Linked DNA regions of Oryzias latipes. The protein of the gene in region 4 interacts with the protein of the main gene of each other region in a pairwise test. Links are inferred from orthologs where the notes say so. Each region holds a gene or a part of one and is shown on either strand. Other genes may lie near its edges. The genes, in order: rnf5, amfr, march5, ube2w and rnf111.

The links.
Region 1: the proteins of ube2w (region 4) and rnf5 interact in binary tests that used the Homo sapiens proteins (3 or more experiments, as listed by UniProt). The link is inferred for Oryzias latipes from reciprocal best matches to the Homo sapiens genes UBE2W and RNF5.
Region 2: the proteins of ube2w (region 4) and amfr interact in a two-hybrid assay, tested with the Homo sapiens proteins (2 studies listed by BioGRID and IntAct). The link is inferred for Oryzias latipes from reciprocal best matches to the Homo sapiens genes UBE2W and AMFR.
Region 3: the proteins of ube2w (region 4) and march5 interact in binary tests that used the Homo sapiens proteins (3 or more experiments, as listed by UniProt). The link is inferred for Oryzias latipes from reciprocal best matches to the Homo sapiens genes UBE2W and MARCHF5.
Region 5: the proteins of ube2w (region 4) and rnf111 interact in a two-hybrid assay, tested with the Homo sapiens proteins (2 studies listed by BioGRID and IntAct). The link is inferred for Oryzias latipes from reciprocal best matches to the Homo sapiens genes UBE2W and RNF111.

Annotation. Positions count from the first base shown.
Region 1 is NC_019869.2:5,392,525-5,396,594, forward strand, and holds the start of rnf5 (E3 ubiquitin-protein ligase RNF5), read left to right. Parts: upstream 1-1,263; 5' UTR 1,264-1,418; coding exon 1,419-1,600; intron 1,601-4,070. Other genes in the region: rRNA-processing protein UTP23 homolog, read right to left, coding at 1-55. UniProt on the Homo sapiens protein: Membrane-bound E3 ubiquitin-protein ligase that mediates ubiquitination of target proteins. May function together with E2 ubiquitin-conjugating enzymes UBE2D1/UBCH5A and UBE2D2/UBC4.
Region 2 is NC_019861.2:26,256,893-26,260,407, forward strand, and holds part of amfr (E3 ubiquitin-protein ligase AMFR), read right to left. Parts: intron 2,797-3,515; coding exon 2,756-2,796; intron 2,207-2,755; coding exon 2,074-2,206; intron 1,979-2,073; coding exon 1,845-1,978; intron 1,746-1,844; coding exon 1,635-1,745; intron 1,402-1,634; coding exon 1,205-1,401; intron 1,134-1,204; coding exon 1,030-1,133; intron 511-1,029; coding exon 376-510; intron 228-375; coding exon 52-227; intron 1-51. UniProt on the Homo sapiens protein: E3 ubiquitin-protein ligase that mediates the polyubiquitination of lysine and cysteine residues on target proteins, such as CD3D, CYP3A4, CFTR, INSIG1, SOAT2/ACAT2 and APOB for proteasomal degradation.
Region 3 is NC_019873.2:3,260,527-3,264,718, forward strand, and holds the start of march5 (E3 ubiquitin-protein ligase MARCH5), read left to right. Parts: upstream 1-1,392; 5' UTR 1,393-1,711; coding exon 1,712-1,755; intron 1,756-4,192. Other genes in the region: cpeb3 (cytoplasmic polyadenylation element-binding protein 3), read right to left, coding at 578-677. UniProt on the Homo sapiens protein: Mitochondrial E3 ubiquitin-protein ligase that plays a crucial role in the control of mitochondrial morphology by acting as a positive regulator of mitochondrial fission and as an important regulator of immune response.
Region 4 is NC_019878.2:16,091,636-16,095,060, reverse strand, and holds part of ube2w (ubiquitin-conjugating enzyme E2 W), read right to left. Parts: intron 1,370-3,425; coding exon 1,267-1,369; intron 1-1,266. UniProt on the Homo sapiens protein: Accepts ubiquitin from the E1 complex and catalyzes its covalent attachment to other proteins.
Region 5 is NC_019861.2:21,213,788-21,217,302, reverse strand, and holds part of rnf111 (E3 ubiquitin-protein ligase Arkadia), read left to right. Parts: intron 1-849; coding exon 850-1,004; intron 1,005-2,380; coding exon 2,381-2,572; intron 2,573-2,732; coding exon 2,733-3,097; intron 3,098-3,362; coding exon 3,363-3,515. UniProt on the Homo sapiens protein: E3 ubiquitin-protein ligase. Required for mesoderm patterning during embryonic development. Acts as an enhancer of the transcriptional responses of the SMAD2/SMAD3 effectors, which are activated downstream of BMP.

The DNA.
Region 1 (4,070 bases), on a different chromosome or scaffold from region 4:
TGTATTTGTAGAAGCTAATCGTTTTCTTGGCTTGTTTCTGTCGTTTGATCTTCATGTTCCGCCTTGAATAAAAAAAGAAATTAGCGAAAGCAAAAACAAAGCTTTAAACTTAAATTAATGTCTTCTTTCTGCAGTCAAAAAGGGTCAAAATAAGATCCTAAATCAGCGTGGAGCTGTACTCAAACGGTTTTGTGCGTAGGCCTAATAGCTCCGGAACGAAACAAAGATGTCTGCTTAAAGTTCCGGTTTTGAAACGGGGATGTTCATAAATGAGTCAATTAAAAAAATAATGTTTTAAATAAAAGACACTGTTTTTCTTTCTTTTAATCTTTAAATCTTTTTAATGTTTGGTTTTCAGATTTAACGGGTTCTGTCAGTTTAAAAAAATGCCTATCCCGGTTAATTTAATACAGTAAATGCAGTTATACATTTAATGTATTGAAGAAGGAAAAAAACGGTTGGGATATATAGTTATAATTTAACTTGAATAACAGAATTTTGAAATGTTAGTTTTTTGAAATTTTTTAGAAACAATTGTTTGTCTTTGTTTGTTATTTACATCCTGATTACTGACTGCCCTATTGTTTGTATTAAATTGATTCAAAAGAACACATCATTTTATGATAATTATCATTGTTGTCATTTCCGTTTGTTTTTTAAACATTTTATTAAAACAAGACACAAGACAATAAGTAAAAGAAAACACTTTAAATACTATGCAACTTGCACCACTGACAGTGAACATTATCAGTCAAGAGGTTAACAAGGTTTAATTAAACTTAATATAGAAAAAAAAACAAGACTCTTTGCTGTTTATTTAAAATCTTCTCAGTGTGCCATTAGTTATTACTGTTGTTGTCAGGTATTTGTGTGTGTATGAGTGTGTGTGTGTGTGTGTGTGTGTGTGTGTGTGCGCGCGTGTTTATGTGTGTATAAGTTTGACACATCACAATATTTGTTTTGTTTTGCCTTTCTTGAATTTATGAATAAGGGTTATTTAAAATAAAACACTACCGGATGTAACCTTAAACATTGGCCTTGCTTCATAGAATAGAAGAGAATAGAACTTTATTGATCCGGTAAAAAGTAATTTATTTTGATACCATAGTGCAATTGAAACCCGCAGATAGATGATAAACATTGAAAATACACTTAAAAAGTAAATAACCACGATAATCATTGTACAGTCTCCATGAGGCGTTTGTATTTACATTTTTAGCCCCGCCCCCCGACTCTTACAGCATTATTTTGACCGGAAACGGAAGTGGTTTCTCAGACAGCAGCAGCAGCCACAACTCAGTCCAAAGTGAAGACTGTACCATCAGTGTCGGACTCGGCTAACGCTAGTACCAGTCGGGCACGAGTGGCTTGGGTTGACTCAGTTCGGATTACTTCCCTTCGCTGTTCCGATAACCGTCATGGCGGCGGCGGATCCCCGCTACTCCAGAGGAGGTTTCCCCGCGGGGGAAAGCAGCAACGACCGCGACGGGCCAGGCGGCGGCAGCGGGGAAAGCGAGCGGGACCGGGCCACCTTCGAATGCAATATTTGTTTGGACACAGCCAGGGACGCTGTCATCAGTATGTGCGGACACCTGTTCTGGTACGAAACCAAAACAGTAGTTATTAGAGTGTGTGGGGGTGTTTTTCCATGATCTTTTGATGTTATTTGCCCGCGCGCGCGCGGCCTTCTTTAACGTCAGCTGTTGACGGCGGAGTCACGCCCCTCGCTGAAAACCACAATAATAATAATATTAAAAATAAGAATAAAGTACAAACTAATATTTTACAGAGGCAGGTCATAACTGTTTTACTGCATTACACCTAAACATTTTTTACAGCATTTTTATCAGCTGTCAGTCAAAGGTGACGTATTAATCTGTGACATATTAACTCTTATTGTAAATGCTTAGTGACCATTTCTAACTTTAACATCAGTCTGTGATGAGCCAAACTTGCTTCAGCTTGTTGCTGTGATTTAATCAGCTATTCTGTTTAAATCCACTTTAATCTGAACTGGCAGCTCACCACATCTGAAAGGAACCTGCGGCCAAAGACTTTCTAGCATTTTCTCCCCCTTGTGATCCAAACTTGCGCAACCTTCAACCTTCATGTTGTCGGTTCACACAAACTCAGTGGTTTTTGTGTGACTAATCTGGGAGTCGCTGATGTGACATCAGGGTCAGCAGGTTCCTATCAGCTGTAATCGAAAGCAGCGAAGGGTTCAGTGTGGAAACAAGCACAGGCTTGGACTTTGGTGGTTTAAGGCGGTTAACACATCAGAGATTGTTTATTGTGCAAAATCCAGAAAAGAATTGATCAAGAAGGACTAAAATCTAAGTGCAGGAAAATATAATCTTTGGAATGTATTGAAGAAGCTGTAAAAAAATGCAAATGTACATTTTCCTTCAACAGTTCTTGCTCATTTGGGGGGGGTTTGCAATAGAATAAAAACAAATCATGAAAGTGATTTATTAAAAATGTTTAACATGTTCTTGTGGCATTTTTCCGATGAAAGAGGACAATTATAGAGAAAATTAAACATTTTCTGAGTATTTTGTTATTCAAATCATTGTGAATCAGGAGCAGAATTTTAAAAAATTCAGTTTGAAAAAGATCGTATTTGTGACAGAAAATAAACTGGGCGGGCCATAAGCTCACAGATTAAGTTGGGGTTGTGTGAGGGGCTGTAAGCCAGCAGGACAGCGTGTAGACAGATGCATGATGGGAAGTGGCATAACAGCACCATCATAATTAAAAGGGAACTATTCATCAATAGATCAGGTTGTAGAGCGACTCTGATTACTGTTGGTTATATTTCCTTTCATTTTCTTTGCTGGCTTTTGTGATGTCACAGCCGATCGTTATTAAAACCGCTTCTCATTTCTCTTTCTGCGCTTCCTGTACTCTGTTTGAAAAGCTGGAAAATGTATATTTGATATGGCTATGATTGTCAGAAGGAGGCGATGAAGCCAGTTTTGTCTTTAAGCTGCTGAACAGAAATAGAAAAAGTTGGTAAAACAGAGAAAATGTTAGACATTCAGGAAACTTTGAGACATTTAAAAAAATAAATCCACACATATATTTGCATTTATTGTATCCATTATATGTCTTTTAATATAGTGTCACTCTTTTTTTAGAAGTTTGTAAATATAAAAACAAGTATTGGTGTGTTTTAGAGAAAATCTGTCCAGTTGAATGAATCGGTACAAACACGCCGTTTTTTTTCTCAGACAGAGGAAGGATTTCTGTTGTAGCTTAACCAGCCGTTGATTGCTGCTACTTAATATAAACAAAAAGAAGAACAAATAAAGTCTAATTAACTTAAAACCCCCAGAGGAAAAACCGCTCCGGAGCTCTCTGGGGGTTAAATCCCGGTCCAGTACCGGATCAAGTTCTGGTGGACCAGCTGGTGCGTGTCTGTGTTTGCAGCTCCCACGGCGGCGTGCGCTGATGTAACGTCGTTGCTATGTTACCCCCCCCCCCCCCCCCCCCCCAAATCTGTACGTAACATGATGAAACTTTGAAGCAAGGAGGTCAGTTGATGACATCAGCTCACCTGCTGCAACATCTCATCAAGCTGCTTGTGGAATAGGATTCATCATCATCTTTGACTTTTAGCTATGCAGTGTCGGATTTTCCACAAACTCTCACTGAAATGTGGTGTATTTTATTGTAAAGTAATATTCTGCTTAGATTAGTTTTTCAAGCCATCTCTGAGATGATTTCATAAACTGGTGTTTGGAGCCAAAAAAAATGCGTCTGACTTCATTGCAAAGGTAATCTGAAAAACACAAAATGATGAGATAAGCAGCTTTTATTTTGAAGGCACAAAGTCCTGCGGCTTCTCAGTTCAAATAAATCAGGTTTTTATCACTTGTTGCAGGTTAAAGTTGGTATTGAAACTCAGGATTTGCTCTGTGTTGATCCTTGATCCTAAATTGACTGCGGGGACGCCGATCCCCGTTTTTTAAACCCAAGCAGTGCAGATTACTGCGCCGGAGTGCTGCTGTGGTTCTGAAAGTCCCGCCCTTCTTGTTGGTTTGCATGCTCCAAGTTCCTTCATGACTAAA
Region 2 (3,515 bases), on a different chromosome or scaffold from region 4:
CCACCGTCATTTTCTACCTAATCCCTTCATAGTGAATAGCAGCATTCCAACCTGCGTGCATGCTGGAGCATCTCCTCTTTCCTCAGCATGAGCATCTTCTGTCTCTCGTCAGCTGACTTTGAGAAACGACCCCCTCTGGCCTCAATGTTGTCCGACTCGTTGGCGTTCTGTTCAGATGCTCCACTGGGACCTGCTTGCTCTTCATTTGTGGGTGAATGCTCTATGGCCTGAAGGGAAGAAGACACATACACAATTTTGCTGGACAAATGGAAGCCCGAAAAAAGTCACACAAAAACAGTTTAAGACAACCAAAGAAACCCATATGACAAGTCTTCTTTTGGGGAACGCTGCTGCAGAGAATGCAAAGATACTGACCTGTGTGGGGAAGGGCACCTGTATGCGTCCCTCCAGAATGTTGTCTGTTGTGACTTCCACAGAGCGAGTCAGTTGAAGGTCCTGCATTACAAGATACGAGGGCACCTGAGGAAACATCTCCTGAATCTGATGCGTCTGTTGAGAAGAAATGCACAAAGAGAAAGAAGAGAATATAAATGGAGAAGGAGGATTTAAAGAAAATACAAAGACACATCCTATTGTTATCTTTGGCTTGACCAGCTTCAGTTAAATCGCGCCAATATTTTCTAAATCTTATTAAAAGCAAGCACCAAAAGAGAATCATATTGTCTTTTCGGTCTTATACTGACTTCTTATCATCAACACAAGTTTGAACAAATACAGTAAAGAAAACAACTCATGCTTCCACTTTTTAAAAAAAAATGAATAAAACCCATAGAGGAACTGATGTTTGTTTACAAAGAAAATCAAAGACTACACTCTTCCCTTTTCTATACATTTTGTTCATGTTAAAAGGAATAGATATGAGGTCGTGAGACTTTTTTTTATTAACGTTTTAAATTTTGGGTGGATCTCTGTAGCAATATACAAAAACTCCCCGCAAGTCTTTAACAGATGACAATCTCACAATTGTGACACATTTTTGAGTTTAACTCAAAAATGGCTTGGACTTACCATGGCCATAAGCTGGGAATTGTTTGGTGGAGCCATGCCCAGAAGGTTGGTGGTGTGCATTACTTCCACTGAAAAACTGGGCAGCCAGCTCGCAATGCGAGATCCTAAAGGAGGAATGTATGACTGTTATAAGGTGCAGCAGATATTTATGATTCAATCTGTGCAGCAGACTTACCATCAAAGTGGAAGAAGTGATTGTGCTGGTTGATGTGCGGCCGAGCGTCTGGAGCAGCTCCAACTGGGCCGATATTGTCTTCCAAACCCACCCCTGGCTGCTGATTTCTCACCTGACTTCCATCGCCGCTGATATTCAGCGACGTTCGACACGTAGGACACGACGTGTCCTGCTCCAGCCACGAGCGCAAACAGGAGCTGTAAAAATAAATACATAAATCAAACAAAATAGTCCAGTGTCAAATAAAAAGTCATTTCTACCTAAGGACAACAAGGTTTATCAATCACTGCACCAAAATTGATAAATGCAGAGAACAAAAGCCTTTGTTTGGTAAATAAACACCAACAAAACTTATAAAATATGTGCATATATCATAAATAGAATGTAGGTCCATCTGGCTGAACTTATACAGAGATTACTGCTTCATTACTTATGAAAGAGATGACCGCAAGGTAGTTTGCGTGCTGTTAGCATGGCATCCCAGCAGATGGCGCAATCATCATCATTGGCCGCTAGCTCTTCAGCTGTAGCAACAGCAAATCTGGCAAAAATAACCAAAACAGAAATGTGACACACAATTACAAATCATGGCTGAAACGTAATGAGCCAGTCAAAAAAAACAAAGGCAACATTTTCCCACCTGGCCTCCATGTTGTTGATGACACGAAGGTAATTCTTGTGGCGGCGAACACGCCGCTGGACCTCATGGAAAAGGTATCGCAGCTGCATAAAGATAACCAAGCTTGCCATGGACAACCAGATGTTACCAAAAAGCTAATGGGACAAAAAAAAGATAGAAACTTAAAGTAGAAAAGGACAAACGTAGAAGAAAAAACAAAGATATACATTCAATTGAGACTGAATGGTACCAGCATGTGGATGTGGTGCATGAGGTCAAGAAACAGCATAGCCAATTCCATTATGAAGTCAGTGTAGTAGACATAAGTGCCTTTGCTCTCCCAGGTCCCTGGATGATTCAAATCCCACAGATGGATGGAGTAACTGAAAGATACGAAATATGTCAACAAGATTTTGGACTGGAGGAAATATATTTAAATGGCTGCACCATGCAAAACAATTTACTGAGCTTTTAAGTGTATTAGAATGTTCTTTCCTCAGGAAAAGAAAAGTCCTGCTTTTCTCAGTATTGCTCTAAAAACCTGCGCTCTGAGCATGGTATAGGCCCCTTTAAAGCAGCAATCAAATGCTAGCTAAAGCTTTTTTTGTTTAATTTTAATTAGCTACATTAGAGTATAAAACACAAAAACATTACAGTAAAACCATCCCTTAAAATGGGATAGCATTAAAAATGTCTCCATATGTCCCAAGTTCTTACTTAACGCTGTAAAAACGAAAAATTCCCCCGTTCCTGATCAGCCGACTTCATGAGGATCAGAGTTTTTGCACATTACTAAGCCCCTCCCCCAACAAGAAGGTCTTTCATGTCAGAGCTAATAAAACCAAAACAATCCCATGACAAGTCAAATCCATCATTTGCATGCTTCATGTCATCCCAACAGCTTGATGTGTTGCAAGTTTTAACATACTCACCGCATAATGACATGTCCAGTCCGCACAGTCACTAATAAACACTGAAAGAAGAGAAATGTTCTAATGATGCGGTTTGTTTTGGAAAAAATACAGAATCAATGAACAAACCTTAGCAAAAACTCCAAGTAGACTCATTTCTGTTACGTTTTCCAAGTCTTTTTTAAAATAATATTACTTTTAAAAAGGTACTTCAACCATAAATATGATGGCAAAAATTACTCAGATGCCTAAAATGTTTATAAGTTAGAATGGAAAAATAAACCAATGCATCATAATATTCAACATAGATGGACGTTCTTGTTTTTATACAATGACATTCCCACCAAAGGTAAACAGAACTCTGCATAATTATTAAAAACAGTTCAAAATATGATACAAAACTAACCTGTGATGAATGTTTAATAAACTGAGCATGTCAGCTGATTATCTAATAGAGTATTTTATGTTTTTTGAAACAAAAGTGTGGTAAAGAAGCCACAGTTACACATGAATGCTGCATTCATTGACTGATTTTGAGTTTTTAAATGCATCCCATTCTTTTTAAATATTGTGATGCACGCCATTTCTGTTGAGGATAAACCTCCATTGTTTACCTCAACTGTAAGCAAATATGAGCAGCCACTGTGGGCATCTCTAATCCTTTTTTTTTTTTTTTTTTTTAGGTTTTCTTGCTCAATGTGCATGAAAGCTCAGAAGAAGCCTGTGACGTGACTGCTTACTTTATCACATATTTCCAAAACGCACCATTATAATATTCAAC
Region 3 (4,192 bases), on a different chromosome or scaffold from region 4:
TCTTATTGCGTAAAATGAGACAGGACCGCATTCCCACTGATCCCATTTCCCCTCGTGGAACAGAGTGTCCCTCGCCATTTCAACCGATATAAACCTAAGGATCACAATATAGTGCCACTAGAAAAGTCTTTATTCTCTATAAACACAGAAAAAGGACTTAGTTTGCAGCATAAATGTGCTCCTTGTGCGTTGCTTCGGCTCAACGCCTTGCGTAAATCCAGCGCACATTCTGCAAATATGCCGCAAGTTAGGTTAGATTTACAGACTGAATAAAAAAACAACAACATTTCTAGCTGTTGAGAATAAGAAATACTCAAAGCACACAGTAACATGTGTCATTTGAACTAGTTTTAGAGGCACAACAATAAATCAAACTCTGCCTGGCCAATGATCAGCAAAGATTTGACGACAATTTAAAGCTGTGGTGACACTGAAACAAGCATCGTTTTCAGGCCTTTTAATAGCACGGATGTTTTCAATCAATACTCCACGTGTGTCAGATCATTTTAACAACATAATCGAAATAAAAAAACAACCAGCAGGACTTTCAATGAAACACTCGCTGCACTCAGCCCACCGGGGAATTCGGTGTTTTCTCCTCCAAGAGAAACGCTTCCAAGGTCATGGACGCGGGAGACTGAGCTGCCTGGGGGGGCTCCCCTCTCTGGCCTTTTCATCACACACCCTGACCAAAACAGCTGACACTTGAAGCAGCTAGTGTGGTCGAGACATCCCCGTTTACATGACACGATGTTGCCGTGAAATCCCTCTTTGATATGTCCTGTAAACGTCAGAACAGCATGCACGCGCGGTGACGTCGCCCCTCCGTTAAACTGCCATTACCTTTATCGTTCACCTTTCTGAGACTGTGAATAAAGCTACTTCTCCACGCCTCGTCGGGCTTTGGATTTCACAAACGAGCTGCCCTGGTGGTGCCGAAGTAGTCAGCAGTTGCCTCAACAGCTGATTGACTGCAGCGCATGGATAATACCGAGGTGGCTGATGGGACTTGTAGTTGAACGGGACTTGTAATGACAGCACCAGTTATTCAAAAAGGTATTTAATGTTTTAAAATTGGTGTAAGGCTTGTATTTAAAGTCTGAATTAATTTATGAAATAAGACGTGAAATTTCTTGTGAAAAAACGTCAGGTAGGAATTATGTGGTCTCCGTTCTTGCGTAACGGAGATCCGGACGCAATTATTGAAAGAATTCTTATTTTTGTCTTCATATCCTGGCGTATATAGCAGAAAACCTCTAAAAATGTAAACATAAATATTTTTAAACTAATATGTTTGCTAAAAATCGTAGTAAACAAACTTATGTCTTTATTTTTAAAATTTTCCAGCTAACTTCCGTTTTGGGCTTATGTTGATGACGTCAGACACACGGTACCTTACGTTACCTCAGAGACGGCCAGTCAATGGAGTCAAACGGTCACGCAAACGAGGCCGTAACAGGTTTAAAAAGGATTTCTACCCGGAATAGCACATAGTCCGTAGATCGTTGCTATTCGGATAGACATGACTATTAGGCCGTAGATAATATTGTTGTTGGACTGCGGCTGACGCGGGAAACCAACGCACGAGCCCGTGCGGCTAACCAAGCTAGCTAACCGAGTCATCAGGGGCTGGATTTCGAGTAAATGTATGTTTACTGCAGTTAAATATTGACAGCAATAGGGAGAATTTCGACCCCACATCCCCACTACAATGGCGGAAGAGGCTGCAGTGGTCGCGCAGCAGAACCTGGACAGGTGAGTTCCAGCAACAACACGCTGCCCCCCCCCCCCCCCCCCGCGTATGTATACTGATGCTATCTGAAATAATAGCTCATTGCTATGAACGCACATTTCTGTGTCTCGTACTGTATAAACACTTAACAGAATCCAAATAAAGACCTCTCTCATTAACCAAACATTATACAGTACTACTATAGTATTAAAACATGATAATTGAGTTTTGGTACTTGTTCAGGAGGAAAATGCTTTCAGTTCTGAAGTGATTCATTGTTTGTAAGTTTATGCATATTTGTGAGTCCCTATGAGGATCTTTTGATTTATTGTAAAAGTCTTCCCAATGACCTTTTGAATTAGGATTTTCCAGTTTTTAGCCAAAATGATCAAACCTGTGTTGTTTTTATAGGACATAGTTTCTGCAGAGCAGCAGGAGTTCATCAGTAATTTGCCTCAGAGTGAGCACGACTTTTGGCGTGGAGCAAGCCGCTCCCCTTCCCGTCACCCAATATCTGAGCTCTCTATTTACACCCTCCCCCGCTAGCGTTCACCAGCATTACAACCCCAACCTAACATCAGCAGTGCAGCAGAAATGACGAGCAATGTCAGATCTATCCAGGCGTCCAGTTCTGATCCAGATTCCAGCTAAGACCAGGAAAACAAAGACCTTCATGAATCTATTTGTCTGCAGGTGGATGATCAGAATGGAGCAGAGCAGGAAGCTTAAATCCTGCCCAGCAGATTCTCTACATCACAAACAAGCTCCTTTTCCAACTGCATATTTTTGTCTGCTCCTGATTTATAATGATTTAAATAAAGAAAACCTCAGAAATGCGTTTTTAAGCTTATCAGAAAAATACCACAAGAACATGTTAAAAATGACATTTTCATCAGACTGGGTCTTTAAACGTTTGTCAAATTAGCTGTGTCATTAGCAAAGAGCGGCTGTTGCCCCCAGGTGTACCTGAGGACACAAGCTGCTCTACTAAGAGAGGTTAGTGGGCGTCTGCCCCAAGAACCTGTGTTAACAGCGTGACATCTGGAAATGCCCGGTCCATTTGTGTTGTTTTTCAACCGGTGTGGCATGGCCCACTAGTGTGCCGTGGGAGATTGTCCTCATTCACTGATCTAAAAACATTTCCCATCTCCAGGATTTCAGCTCTGTGTTCATCCAAACAGGTCCTGATAAAACACTGAGTAGTTAGGAATATGAAAGATCGTAAAATACTTTTTCTTTGTGTTCATTTGATTCTATAAAAGACATTTTGATAAGAATGACGGTACCGCGATTTAGCCGCTGCAGCTCTGTTTTATGAAAAGTCCCGCCCCTTTAACTGTCTCCACCAATCATTCTTGGAGGCTTAATCACACGTCATCAGTCTGACCAATCAGAAGTGGTTAAATTCTTCACTTCCTTCTTCAGATTCTGTTCATAAAGTCTCTCAGTTCTAACAAAAATACCAGCTAAAGCTCGTCTTTAGCGGTGTAGCTTTCCACAGAATCCGGTGTCAGACCGTGGAACAAGTGAACAAAACCATGAAGCTCAGAGATGCGAGTCTCTCTGCCCTCGGCGGCAGTTTCACACTACATCTCCCATGATGCATTGGGTTAAAGTGACAGCTCCTCAGCGCACAATGTGAACAGGCTGCCAGTTCACACCTACGGTCCCTCTGACCATCACCAGGACGTTCATGCACATTTATACTCCAGTGGAGCCGCACTGGAGCTACTGCCTGAGCCACTGCCGCCCCATTTCACGAAGCAGTCTTTCCATCAAATCCCTCTTTTAGTGACCCAGTGAACACCAGAACTCTTTGTAAGGCTGTAGGTATTCTAGGTTCTTATTTTCTTAATCTTGGTTGCATCGTTTTTTTGACCTGACTTAAAGGCCACTGGGCGGTCAATGGTGTCAAAAAGTTAGGGACTTGGATATCAATTTATTGAATAGAAATTCTTCTTTTGATAGTCAATAGTATTGATGTAAATCAGTTGGGGCCTGAAAGCGCTCTTCAAACTAGATAACCAGCCGTGCCATGATGTAGAGTGAGTTGAATGTCATGTAGCACCTACGTCTAACCACACACCGATGACGCTCCCCAAGCATTTCTGTGCACAGACAGGACCCCGAGGCCCACAGCACTGACAGAATCTGATAAAGGCTTATACAAGTCATTTCTGGTTGCACATTCTGTCAATATTGAGCTTTGAAATAATCTTTTAAGCATTAAAAGAAAATGCATGTGCCTCAGCTGCGTATTGCAGGTGTGGGGCAGAGCTCCCCTTTGTGTACAGGAAGCTGATAGTAGTGAGGTGTACGCCACGTACACAGTTGTGTACCCAGACTATCGGTGGCAAACAGACGGCTCTTATCTGGGCTGGCTACCAGCTGCCACTGCAATGCAGTGTTTCACAAATGTGTGAGGGAGACATTTGATCCAGTCTGAACTCTAACTTACAC
Region 4 (3,425 bases):
GCAAAGAGTTTCCTCATTCCAGCTGCTTCTACTCACTGTTTACATTATGGTTTATGCTGCTAAAAATAAGAGCTTTTCTTTGTTTTGTACGATTGATTCGATATGGGAAGACTGTACTTTTAGCCTTCTTACGTTATTACTGATTTGTAAACAGGTAATCAATGTCCATATAATCCAGATTATAGCACCAGAGAAAGAGCTGAGATTGGGGTTAAGATGTATAATCCTTCACTCACAGAGAGCAAAATACAAGGCAGATAGGAACATCTAAAATTACAAATTATTTCCAGGTAAAATAAAAAAATGATTTAAAAAAACAAGAACAGCTTTATTTATAAGCAAACATAACACAAAACTAAAGATTGATTAATCCAAAAACCTAAAAGCTATTCAAAAACTAGCAATCTATGAACAAAATTAGCCAATACGTCTAGAAATCGAAAGATGTCGAGAAATTTCAGGATGGTGGTGAGTGAAGATTTTGAAGTGTTTAACTTTAAGCTTTGGCAGCAAATGAGAAGTGTGAACATCTATAGAAGTAAACTACGTCAAAGAAATCCTTTCATTAGAGTCTAACATCAGGTGGTTCTAAAACAGAAAATCAATAGATCAGGTCAGTTTTATAAGGCAACATATTTATGAGCATGTTGGGGAGAATCCCAGAAAGTAAGGGACATTTTCTCTGATTATGTTGATGCAACCGAACACAAACACAGAACGCCATCGAACAGTATTGACCTGTCCGACCTTTGACAGTCTGGCCTTACAGTAAATAGAGTTGTGTCCAAGCAGCTCAGTTGGGTTTTAGTTCGGAATTTTGGATTTTTAGATGGTCAAGAAATTGACTAGCATAACAAACAGTCGAGTGAAACTATTTGACTGAATCCAAGCTCCACTGTTTCTAAAGCACGCTCCTTTAACAAGAGAGTGTGACCAATACACCACCCATAAAGCAGCTCTGTACAGGTACTAAACAACTTTTACCTCCATTTCTCACATTGATTTGCAGAACCTTTAGTCTAAAACAGGAAAAACTTCTTATCAGCCATGGAAAAGGAGCAATTGCCTTAGTTTATCCTTATGTTATTGTCTTTTTTTGTCTGAATAGAGATCTTTCAAAGCCTCCAATAGTTCCGTCAAACGTAGACACTCAGTCTAGCTGCTAGTTCTTAAAAAGAACCTGATTTATTATTAAACCTTTCCAGCTGCACGGGACAAAGAGCTCTAGAAAGTCTCACATTCAGGGTCGTGTGGGGCCGTGCTTACCTGGGGTGAATCAAAAGGATATCGACCACTAAATTTGAAAAGTAGCTGAAACTTCTCTCCTTCATACAGAGTCCCAGGCGCTCCTTCCATATCTACAATCCACCTAAAAGACAAGCAAGAGACAAAAAACAGGATTCAATAACCCCACCAAAATAAAAGCAGCATTAACGAGACATCCAATCTGTGATGCGATTAAAAAATATGGTCAGAATGTCTTCAGACTTGCTTTCTACCCCCACTGAGGGAACAATAAAGCAATAGATAAAGGAGAGGAATGTTCAGTAGGTTTCCATAAACAACAGCAGCCTCTAAAATGGGCAGCTCACCGACAGCTGCTGGCCAAAATGTTGATCCACTAGAAGTTGTAAGATGGTTTGTTTTATGGCTAGAAGGTAGAATCAACGGTTATTAAATTAGCTGGCTTTCATGCAACAGATAGTTATGAGCACACAGGTATTTGAGTCAATTATCTGGCAATAACAAGGAAAATATACATTTTACAACTTGAATAGATAATCGACATTAGCCCAGAAAAATGTTTTAGTGCATTTCTTTAAATTCTATTAAAAAAAATTATAGAATTTTTATAGAAAAGATTTCACTCTGAACTGCATCTAAACACAAGTGGTCCCTCCTTGAATGAACAAAGAATTTATGAAGATAGACTTAAAAGAGGTTAAACATTTACTTTATTTATATGATAGAAAGAATCAAATCAGACATTTAGTCTTAGTTGCTGCAAGAAAAACATTTGGTCAGTATAGAATGACAAGTTGTTTCATAATCTTCTGGTTCTGCTTTATGACATGCAAACCAAAAAGGAGGCAAGACGGCACATACTTTAGAGAAGCTCTTTATCCTGGGTTAAATTCCATTTGTAAACAATTAAAAAACATACAGACATCAAGCACAGTTCTTTTCCTCACAAACTGCTTCTTGTATCACGTGTAAGCTATCTGATCTCCATGTGATGGAAAAAACCCAGGAGTTTGCAGCTTTCTTCACCTTCATTTAACATTTCGGGGACAACACACTCCCCTTTTATCTTTGACACTCGTTTTGTGAAAGCAGTCCCGTGTACCCAGATATGGAACATGGGACGCAGACGCCAGGATCACGGCTGAAATGTGCCGGCAGGTCACTTTCTGCAGTATCTGCTGTCCTTCAGCATCACACTGCCAGAACAATGGTGGAAAAGATTGTGGCAGTGACGCAGCAATGATAAAGTGGCCAAAATAATATGTGACCACACAAACCGGTTAACTAGTAATGCTTCATGGCTTTCATCGTTTTATCATTATTCTTTCTTTTATTGTTTAGGGATTTTATTTATATTTAATTTCTGTGTTCGGCACTTTGGCTGCTCGTTCTTTTATAAGTGCTGTGCAAGTCATAACATTTATTTAAAAAAAAACATCTCCCAACAAAAGTGATAACTATCCTACAGCTCTCTCTTAAACATAAAAACATTTGATAGATTTTAGTAGAAAAAAATAAAAGAGAAAAACCCTGAAGTTACTTTTAGTTTAGATTTTAATGCAAAAAAACATTTAAAAAAATGGTTTAAATAAAGAATCATCAAAATCCTTATCAGGTCCAAAATTACTATACAACAGAATACATTTGAATGAACTGTAATCTGTTCTCTCTATTCTTTGAATACAACAACAGAAGCAGAAAAACATCCCTTAATATAAACAACTTTTTCTAACTGACCACTTCACTTTATTAATGATAGTTTATTATTAGCATGTATTTTTAGAAGTTGCATAACATGTTATTTAAGTAATTTGCCAAAACATATCAATTTTATTTTTAAAACAACTAAACATGTTCACTCAGCATTTATAAGTATCTTTTCTGAAAATAATATAGTTTACTGTCACTAAGCAGGAAAACATGGAAAAGACAGTTTTGATTTAAACTAAAACTACTACAAAATACTTCCGCTTACAACATGTATTCAATTCATCTATTAAATACAGTGGAGTTTGTAGATATTTAAAATAGTTACTTGCTTTTGTTTTTATGAATTAAATGAATTTATTTAGATTTTGACATTTTCCTTCATCATTTTAAGAACACTAGCCTGAGACGGGGTTAATGTAATTTCTCATCATCATCCTAAGAGTCAACCACCAGAATCTGTCAATTCTGCA
Region 5 (3,515 bases), on a different chromosome or scaffold from region 4:
AAACTGACTAAAAAACAAAAGTGGGGATTTAAAGAATCAACTCATAGCTTCCAGGTCACTTGACTCGCCAGCAGTTTTTACAGCATCTATAAAACGATAGTGAAAATGACAGCAGACCAAGATTACAAATGAATTGATCACAAACGGGAAGAAGCAGGGTTGTGCTTTGGCTCCCCAGGTACGTGTTGTTCCTCATCTCTGCTGTAGATTTGTAAGGACTCTCGCTTACCAGTAAAATCCCAAAGCTACAAAGCTCCATGGCATCCAGCTTTACGACACTCCCACAGCCTCTCGTCCCTTGAGCTCCTTCCTCTTCTCTCTGATCTTTACGGCACCGTTGGGGGAAATGTGACTATTCTCTTGTTTCTCACTTCAGTCTCAAAGGCCAAGGAGTAGAGCGATAGGAGCCTTTGAGAGAGAAAATTAAAAAAAAAAAAAGCAGAGAAAAATACCAAAGACAGAGCAGTAATATAAGTCAAAAATACATTAAAAAGGGGAAAAAAAATAATATTAGAGCTAAAGTGAATGTAAAGCATTTTGATGACAAGCAAACAGTTGACATTAACCAATTCATCAAGGCAAAAGCTTTGCAGGGACCATCATGAAGCCAGGGATTTCATTTTATCTTTGTCCACCTAAAGCAAACATTACTGCAATTTATTGTCTTGTCATTTTATTATGTCATGCAGGCATGAAATTCTGTCCTCACTTAAGTACAATGCTTTTATACTTTTTTTTGTGTGCGCTTGATTTGTTCATAATTTACTGCATTAACTTTTTACACAAACACATCTGTACCAACCCTCATGTTGGCCCAGTGGTACAGTTACATGTTTTGTGTATCTGCAGGTCACGATCTCTGGGGGGTCTTGGCAGAATTTGGCCCAGTAGTTGCTCTCAGAATCGCCTGCAGGAGCCCCGAGGACGTCACCGACTGTCCACAGTTATCCAACCACTGCGTCAGAATGCTGGGGAGGTCGTGGATCTCACTGTTGATGAAGATGGTAATTATGAATCAAGTGGGGTAAAAATAGCAAGGGCATTCCATGTCATGCTGGAAAACAAAACAGAACGTTGTCCTAAAACATTACTTAAACATTAAACATTACTTTTCAAATTCAAATTCAACTTTATTTATATGGCGCTTTTCATGCTACAGAGCATCTCAAAGTGCTCCCCAGAGATAGAAAAAAATAAAATAAAAATAAGATAAAAATATAGGACTTAAAATAATGAACATAGTAAAAACTTTGCCAAGCATGAAAAAAATCCACAACCTGCCTTTGCAGGCTTTCAATAGGCTTAGTCTGCTCCGTGACAGGATTTCCTTTGTCAAAAAATTTGAAAGCTTTAAATTAAGTCAACATTTGCCTCTAAATAACTGTTGACTGTAGAAGTACTAAAAGGAAATTTGTTTTTACAAAATAGTGTTATTTCTTTAAAAGCAAGTTGTTTTTTAACTTTGACCGTGTCATAAGTCCAATCCGCCCATGATGTAGAGCAAAGACTGTTTGCATGCCTAAAGAGAGGGAGAGAAAAGTGAATTTGTAAATATGAAAAGCAGATGGAGTACTAACGCAGTGCAGTGCGCAAAGTCGTTACTTGTCAACTGGAAAATATATCCATAGAAGTACACAATTGTCAGGCTGATACTACAATTATTCTACTACAGAAAAAGTGTCAAAATGGGGGCTCTCTGGCTTTAATGCCGGAAAATTGAGCTCCCAAGCAGCACCTAGAAAATTACAAGCTGGAAACGTTTTTGCTAGTCAGACAGTTACCTTTGACAAGGTATGGTACAAGTAAAACTTCAAAGATGCTCCAAACTCGATAAAATAATCTATCATATACTTAAAAAAATGTTTGTGCTATTACAAGTTAACTGTGGTTAGAACTTTCTATTTTTTTGCCAAAAAAGAAAGACACATTCTTACTCTTTATTGCAACAATTAAACATTTAAAATAAGAAAATAAACCTTGAAAAAAGGTACGAAATGATCTGAAACTGAGATTTAAATGCAGAGTGCTTCCAGTCAGTCTACTAACAAACCAGAGAAGACCAGCAGCAAATTATTGTAGTAATAACCGTTAAAAACAAATAGCTAAATTATTTTGATCCTAAAATCAGTAAAACAATATAGTTGAGCTTCTGTGTTTAAAGCTGTCATGTGGATTTTCCTTTGTGTTCTCATGTCAAACAGACAACTTTAGGTTTGTTCTTGACAAACCCTATAGTTGACAGGAGCTTGATGCAGTCATTCTGAAAATGGTTATTTTCATCTTTACCTCTATTTATTCATTCTCTTTTAATATCATTATTGCAGCTTCACCAAGAATCATTGATTGCTGCTAATGCGTTTTTCTAAAACGTTCTTTACAGACCTTACTGTTGTGCCAACAACTTCTGGGAGCATTCACACTCAAACAGTTAGGTCATCTTCTTCGTCCTCCCATCACACGTCTACCTCAGAGCTCAATGATGCCCCAGGCCCTTCAACTAGTTGCTCTAGTTCACTACCTGAAAGTATGCACATGCAGAGACCAAGTGGTTCTGCTCGCACATCTGCAGAGGGTAAGAAAACCAAAAACGAAGACTGCACATTTTGTTTAGATTTTTTTTTGTAAGGCTTTAGTTTTATATTTTGCTCATTGAAGTCTGAGACTTCTGTAAGACCTGTTGGTGTGTTATGTTTTTTAAAAATTTTTTACCAACTGTTTCTTGCTTTCATCAGATGACAGTAGAGCAAGTCTGTCTGGAGCAGCAGGAGACAACACAGGCACGGCAATGCCCAGACTCCCATCCTGCTGTCAGCAGCACTCCTCATGCGGAGGAGGCCCCTCCCCTGCTCACCTGTCCCTGAGCCACGCCCATCCCAGCTGTTTGCAGGCATCCTCATCTCAGCAGAGCAATTCTCAGCACACTCACAACAGTGCTCATCACTTTCACCACCATGTGCACCATCCTGCTCCACAGCCCCCAGGCACCGTGCCCTTCATAGAGCCCAGCTGCCCCGTGGAGCGTCCCGGTGCTCTCCCTGCACCGTGCGCTGGAATTGGCAGCAACAGTGCTAACAATGCCGTTCATTACCATGACCAGGTATGGCTTTACTGTACCGTGCGTACACATGGAGGATGTTCTTTAGTTAAAGATTAAGCTTTATGTTCCTCCAAGCGAGAAGGTTATAGAAGGTTATGTATTTTACACAAATATAAAATTTTTGCCATTTATTTTCATAGTTAAGAGCACTAAAAGCAGACTTAAATTGTTAGTCATGGAAAAAAATTAGTTAAAAAAACCACATTTGAAGCTCCATGTTATTAGTTAATCTTATTATTCTTTAACATCTGTTTTCCTCCCACAGCAAACTCTGCCAGTAGACCTGAGCAACAGCAGCGTTCGAAGCAGTGGAAACGGTGGTCCGAGTTTCCATGGCAGCACTTCAGCTTTTGACCCATGCTGCCCAGGCTCCACATCGCGACCCCCAGCTTACGTTTCACATGCCCCCCCAGGCCCA